2 linked regions of the Callithrix jacchus genome follow. The protein of the gene in region 2 interacts with the protein of the main gene of each other region in a biochemical or structural test. Links are inferred from orthologs where the notes say so. Each region holds a gene or a part of one and is shown on either strand. Other genes may lie near its edges.

Region 1 (4,109 bases), on a different chromosome or scaffold from region 2:
TTGCCTGACCCCTGTCCATCATCCCTTCAAGTACCCGCATCAGAAAAAGAGCCCGCGCATTCGCCTGCCAATGCCTTGTCGGTCGTAGAGGACGTTGAACTTGTTCACAAACTGGTTCATGGTGTTGCACGTTTTAGTGATGGTGCCGAGGTAGGCCATGAGCCCCACATCATTGCATTGCTGGGAGGGAACATAAAGGACCAGTTCTTCAGGGGATCTCTTGTGGCATGCCCAGGGAACAACAGTCCCCAGTCCTGCATGTGAAAGTGACAGCATAAGCCCCACCTCCCCATCTGGGTTTTACACTCACATCATAAAAGTCTGTCTTGAACTTGTCTGTGCTGAGCACTGGGAGGCAATGACACAGAGCATAGGCCTCCCGCAGGATCTCATGATTAAAGGGGACCTCTCCTAAAGGCACAAAAAGAGGCTGCATTAATTTGGATGCTGTCACTTCCCCAGAAGGGAGAGGAAGAACCCCAGGGAAGTGTCAGGGAAGCCCTTGACCTACCTGCTTCAGAGGCCTTGACGTACTCCAAGATGAGCTTGACGCGGCTGTGCAGCATCTTGATGGCACTGTGCTGTGCTATCAGGTGTTCAGCCACTGCAAGGGGATGGAGACAGGAGGAGGTTGGGACAGGATGTGGCCACACATTCCACCCCCACTTCCAAGGAATCCCCTCCGTTACCGGTGGAGTTCTCTCCACTGCCTGTTGCTGTCATTCGGGCCACGTGGTCTACACCAATGCGTTCCGCTTCCTCTGTGGCCAGAGTGTAGGTCAGCTCAGCAAACAGCATTGTGGCCTACAGGGCAAGGTAACCCACAAAGGGAGAATCAAAAGCAGGAAAGAGGACAAGAGCAGGATGTGAGGGTTGAAGGGTAGGGTTTTACCTCTCCGTTGATTATATCAATGACAGACTCAAAAACGCTGACAGGAAGCTGTGGAGGAGATGGAGAAACCTGAATACTATCTGCCAACATTGGGGCTAGTCGATTTCACACATTTCCTCTCAGCTAATTTTCCCTAGAAACCAATGAAGTAGGGATTACCTCATTTCACACAGTTTGGAGATTAAATGACTAAGCCAGAGTCACAGCAGATAAGTGGCATTTGGCATTCCCCAATACACCGTCACACAACAAAAGGTACAGCAACAATTATGACACAGTAGGCATGGGATATTACTTACATCTGTGTGCTTGGTCATAGGGTTCAACTTCAGAAAGAGGGGGCTCTCAATGATCTCACACACCTGAATGAGAGGGACGATGCACAGGAAGTCAGTGCCCCCCTTTCTCCTTCCCCTCATCCCCCATTCTCTGCTTCAGCATGCACAGGTGTGAGATGTATACCTGCTTGTGGACGTGGATGTCCGAGGGGTCAGGTGGCCCCCCTGTGGTATACCAACCCAGAAATTCCAGCTCCTTGAACACCTGTTTAACTGAAGGGGAAGGGACCAAAACACATAGTAATTATTATTATTATTTTGAGACAGAGTTGTTCTGTTGCCCAGGCTGGAGTGCAGTGGCGCAATCTTGGCTCACCACGACCTCCGCTTCCCAGGTTCAAGCGATTCTCCTGCCTCGGCCTCCTGAGTAGCTGGGACTACAGATGCACATCACCACATGCGGCTAATTTTTGTATTTTTAGTAGAGATGGGGTTTCACTATGTTGGCCAGGCTAGTCTTAAACTTCTGACCTCATAATCTGCCTGTCTCGGTCTCCCAAAGTGCTAGGATTACAGGCGTGAGCCACCGTCCATGCCCAGCCTGACATAGTAATACTTTAAGCCATCTTTCCTCTGTGTGAAGCTCCTGGTGTATTTTCACCAGCTTCTCTCCCCGCTCCTCAAATCCTGGCTCAGTTTAGAGTAATTACTCCCTTCTATCCTGTCTTTTATCCTTTACTTTCTTTTTGGGAAAGAACTCTTAATGTGTTCTTTTTCTGAGATCTCTCCAGCAATTCTCTTAACCTTTTCTTCTCTGTTCTTGGCCTCCTCTCCTGTTTATTTCCAACCTTCTCCATCTTCCCCACCCTGTACTTTTTTTTTTAACTCCCACTCCTCTTCCCCACGTCTATTCCGCTCACACTGCTCTTCCTTGGTGTAATAATATTCCTTGTCAATGATAATCTTCTCTTCCACCGTGTGGGACAGCAGCTCAAAGGAGTTCATCACCTCGATATTTCGGCCCTCCTGCTTCCCAATCAGAGCCCCAATCACTAGGAAAGAGAATGACATGGAAAAGGTGAGGGTAAGGAAACTTCTATCACCTAAGGGTCTGAGGTCAGTGGGAGCCAAGTACTGGGGAAACGATGACTTGAGGGAGGGGGAACTGGCTCCAGTAAAAAAAGGGAAAGACGACTGGGGGAGGTAAGCAAGGAGAGGAGACTGGAGGCTATGCCCAACACTCACCCTGCACAGGCCGCCCCTCCTGGGAGCGCATGCGGATCCAGTGGTCTGAGATGTTGAGAATGACAAGGGGATGGAGAGCGACGGATACACTCCCAGTCACTCCGGAGGCCATCACGCTGGGGACTACTAAGGGTGGAGGGAAAGTAGAGAGGGTGAGAGTCCGGGCCCCACGTCCTTCCCTGGAGACGGCAGTGGGGGACGACGGAGCCCGGCCACACTTCCCTCCCGCAACTTATCCCAGGGAAAGATGTTGCTGTTCCGCCCTCCTCCCTTCTTCTGGGAGCACAGGGAGGCCTCAACGCACCCCTGAAGGAGGTCTCTGGAAGCCACCCCCACACAGCCCGTTACCTGCTGCATCCACCTCCATCCCGCTGCTCCCTCCGGTCCCGTTCGCAGCTGCAGCTGCCGCCGCCATTTTCCTCGCGCCCGCCGGCCTCGGCCCCGCCCCCTTCCTTCCCGGCTTCCGTAAGGTGAGAGGCGCATGTTCAGTGTCCCCGCGGCGCGCGGCGGGCCAGGAGTCCCAGGAGTAGGTAGTTCACTGGCTTGGTTGACGGTTTTCTGGCTAAGGGATCCCGACGCCCTCGCGGGTTTTCGCAGACCTTGTCCCCTCCTGACGCCTGCGGGTAACGTTTGACAAATTACTTAACGGCTTGATAGTCCTCATCTGTAAAATTGAGATAAGAATGCCTAGTTCTTTTTTTTTTTTTTTTTTTGAGACGGAGTCTCACTCTGTTGCCCAGGCTGGAATGCAGTGGCGCGATCTCAGCTCACTGCAACCTCCGCCTGCCGGGTTCAAGCAGTTCTCCTGTCTTAGCCTCGCTAGTAGCTGGGACTACAGGCGCACACCACCACGTCTGGCTAATCTTTGGTATTTTTAGTAGAGACTGGGTTTCACCGTGTTAGCCAGGATGGCCTCTCTCTCGTGACCTCGTGATCCCCGCCTCGGCCTCCCAAAGTGCTGAGATTACAGGCGTGAGCCACCGGGCTTAGCCAAAAACGCTTAGTTCTTAAGGCTGTTGCAGAATGAATGAAATGTCGTGTTACTGCCCTCACAGTAAAATCCAAACAACCGACCACACTCTGCAAGGCCCTGCCTGAACTGCCCTGGCCTGACCTCTACTTTTCTAGCCCTTGATATTCACGCTTCAGCGGCACTGGCCCTCATGTCTGGTTTTGTTGTTTGTTTGAGACAGGATCTCACTCCATCTTCCAGGCCGGAGTGCAATGGTCTCATCTCAGCTCATTGCAGCCTCAGACTCCTGGGCTCAAGTGATCCTCCCACCTCAGCCTCCCAAGTAGTTCGGACTACAGGTGCGCCCCACCACACCCAGCTGATTTTATTATTATTTATTTATTTATTTTGAGACGGAGTTTCACTGTTACCCAGACTGAAGTGCAATGGCACAGTCTCGGCCCACCACAACCTCCGCCTCCTGGGTTCAGGCAATTCTCCTGCCTCAGCCTCCTGAGGTACTCCTGAGTACCTGGGATTACAGGCACGCGCCACCATGCCCAGCTAATTTTTAAAGTATTTTTAGTAGAGACGGGGTTTCACCATGTTGACCAGGATGGTCTCGATCTCTTGACCTCCTGATCCACCCACCTCGGCCTCCCAAAGTGCTGGGATTACAAGCTTGAGCCACTGCGCCCGGCCGTGTTTTTAGTAGAGATGTTTCACCTTGTTGACCAGCATG
Region 2 (2,852 bases):
TTCAAGTTCATTATCAACTCTTTCCCTTCTAATTCTATGAGGTAGAAGGATATAGGTTCAAGCTCCTGGAGAGCAGAAACAGTGGCCATCGTTTCCACGTCCAGTGCCTGTCAGGTATTTATGCCCAGAAAGTATCCATTACTACTGTTTTTTTTTTTTTTTTTGAGATGGAGTCTCACTCTGTCACTCAGGCTGGAGTGCATGATCTCAGCTCACTGCAACCTCCACCTCCAGGTTCAAGTGATTCTCCTGCCTCAGCCTCCCTAGTAGCTGGGATTACAGGTATGCACTACTATGCCCAGCAAATTTTTTTGTATTTTTAGTAGAGACGGGGTTTCACCATGTTGGCCAAGCTGATCTCAAACTCCTGACCTCAAGTGATCTACCCGTCTTGGCCTCCAAAAGTGTTGGGATTACAGGCGTGAGCCACTGTGCCTGGCCATAGTCATTACTTCTGACTATGGATGCTGAGATATGAAGCAACGTGTCCGAAGTCATACAGCCCAGGATCTAGGCCTCAGGCAGAGACGCAGCAAATAGTATCCAGTTCTCTTCATCTTCCAGCACTGTGCTTTAGAGTAAACTGGGAATGAGTCTTCTTCCCATCCGCAAATATCAAAGACAGAAGATACCCAGTTCAGGGTAGTTTGTAGATAGACTTTTCATAGATTTATTTCTGTGTCATGTTATATATAGATATATGCATATATACCTTTTTTTTTTTTAAATACAATCTATATACCCTTCCCTTCCCCACCAAACTCACAAAAGGAGATTAAACCCTTCCAGGACTGCCATCAAGCTTCCCGAGATGGCCAGGGCCAAGAAGGAACCATCTCTCAACATGTTAAGAAATAGCTGCCATTCTTAGGCTCTGGGTTCTGAAGCCGCAGCATTCCCAGGACCCAAAGGGCAGAGAGAGAAAAATAAATGACTGTAGCGTGACAGGATTTTCGGATGAACGTGTCCAGTGACTCTGGGAATGCCACACTGGGCCCCAGAATTCTCAGAATGCGAGTAAAGGTGGGGGCCCTATGGCTCTTCAGAGGCTGCTCAATGCAGGGGTGGTGGGTAAGGTGTAGGAATTTGCGATCAGGCATGCAGGGATGGGGTGGGAGAAAAAAAACGCCTGTGGGTTATGCTTGAGACAGAGCAAACCCCATCAAGGTTACCCACCTACTCGATGACATGTCATGAACAGGGACAGATGTTGAGCTCTTAAGGAAATGTCGGAGAAATAGGGGAGAGAGCATGGCAGCAGGAAGCAACGGAACACAGGAGGTCACAAAAACAAAAAGTACCAACAAAAACATGACCTGCACTTGCCTCCTCCCTAGAAGAAGGTGTGATCTATGTTTGGGGTTGGGGAGGTGATGGGTCATGAACCTAGGATTATCAGCTGGCCAGGGGCACAGGAAGGCTCTCTGAGGACTCCTAAGAGGCAGACAGGCAGCTGGGACCCCACATCCCCAGGGAGGAAACGACAGTCCCTTCAATTCGACTTGGACCAAATCTTGGCGCTCCCTCGGAGCCTGGCAAGAAGAGAAAGAGAGAGAGAATGCAGGGAATCCCCTCTGAAGGCTCCCCCGACTCCCTACTCCCATGCAAATAACTGAAGGAAGTGAAGACAGTCAGGTCCCTGGGGTAAAAGCAGGGCACTCCAGAAGTGAGCAGTACCTGCTACCCTGGCTCACCCCTTGCCCTTTGAGGCTTTCTTGCTGGGCTGGCGCTGGTTGGTGCCAGGAGCTGGTTCCCTCAGCTCAGTCAGATGTTGCTCAGGGTCCTGAGATGTGGCTGCGGCTGCTGCTGCTGTTGTAACTTTAATGGTTTTTTTAAGGTTGGCAACCTACCAGGATGAAAGGAATGGGGATAGCAAGGAAGGTTCCAGAAACTTCCAGACCCTGCTTATTTTGTTGTCTGCTACAACCACTGTCCAAATCCTCTCTGCAAAGGAGAAGTGGCCCAGGCTGGAGGAGCCTGGGTCCACCTGCTCCCTGACTGCTCACCTCACTCTCAATCTGCTGCTTCAGGCCCAGCTGCTGCTCCTTGTGCTGGTTGGCACGGCTCACCTGCTCCTCAATGCCTGACAGCACAACCTCACAGCCCACACACCTGCGGGAGTCAGGGGAGAAGAAAAGTTTCAGCAGACAAGATCTACGATCATAGACTCACAGAAAACAGATTCAAAAAGAACCCTAGATGCAGGGCGCAGTGGCTCACCCCCGTAATCCCAGCATTTTGGAAGGCCGAGACGGGCAGACTGCTTAAACTCAGGAGTTCAAGACCAGCCTGAGCAATATGGCAAAACTCCATCTCTACAAAAAAAATACAAAAACTAGCCAGATGCAGTGGCACAAGCCTGTAGTCCCAAGCTACTCAAGAGGCTGAGGTGGAAGGATGGCTTGAGTCCAGGAGGTGGAGGCTGCAGTGAGTCAAGATCATGCTGCTGCACTCCAACCTGGGCAACGGAGCCAGAACACAGCTTCTGGCATTTTGAGTCTGAGTTGGGAACCCTCACCAGGGCACCTAGAAACCATCTGTGACAATGATCCTAGCAGTGAGATGGACCCTCAGTATGGTCAGAGAGGGATAAGGAAGTGCCTGGAGTGATGTGCAAGATGGTGGTAGGAACTGAAAACAAATAGGGTAGGAGATGTTAAAGAGAAAAAGAGGTGACTTAATGAATACAGAAACCCTGAAGTTAGATAGACACAAAATAAAAGAGAGGAGGAAAAGGCCCATGGCCTGTGGACAATGGTAATTGTAGACCAACTGCTGGAATCTAGCCTAAGGCAACAACCTTAGTGGTTAGGATCCCCTCAAGTGTACCACTCACTCCCTTTCCATCCCTG

The links.
Region 1: the proteins of COPS7A (region 2) and COPS6 form a complex in vitro, tested with the Homo sapiens proteins (3 studies listed by BioGRID, with this or other methods). The link is inferred for Callithrix jacchus from reciprocal best matches to the Homo sapiens genes COPS7A and COPS6.

Annotation. Positions count from the first base shown.
Region 1 is NC_133503.1:13,493,131-13,497,239, forward strand, and holds the start of COPS6 (COP9 signalosome complex subunit 6), read right to left. Parts: upstream 2,844-4,109; 5' UTR 2,831-2,843; coding exon 2,764-2,830; intron 2,542-2,763; coding exon 2,416-2,541; intron 2,223-2,415; coding exon 2,091-2,222; intron 1,444-2,090; coding exon 1,355-1,443; intron 1,255-1,354; coding exon 1,192-1,254; intron 941-1,191; coding exon 893-940; intron 805-892; coding exon 690-804; intron 605-689; coding exon 512-604; intron 412-511; coding exon 311-411; intron 181-310; coding exon 40-180; 3' UTR 1-39. UniProt on the Homo sapiens protein: Component of the COP9 signalosome complex (CSN), a complex involved in various cellular and developmental processes.
Region 2 is NC_133510.1:20,922,600-20,925,451, reverse strand, and holds the end of COPS7A (COP9 signalosome complex subunit 7a), read right to left. Parts: intron 2,113-2,852; coding exon 2,007-2,112; intron 1,847-2,006; coding exon 1,695-1,846; coding exon of another isoform or gene 1,691-1,694; exon of another isoform or gene 1,678-1,690; intron 1,533-1,677; coding exon 1,493-1,532; 3' UTR 647-1,492; downstream 1-646.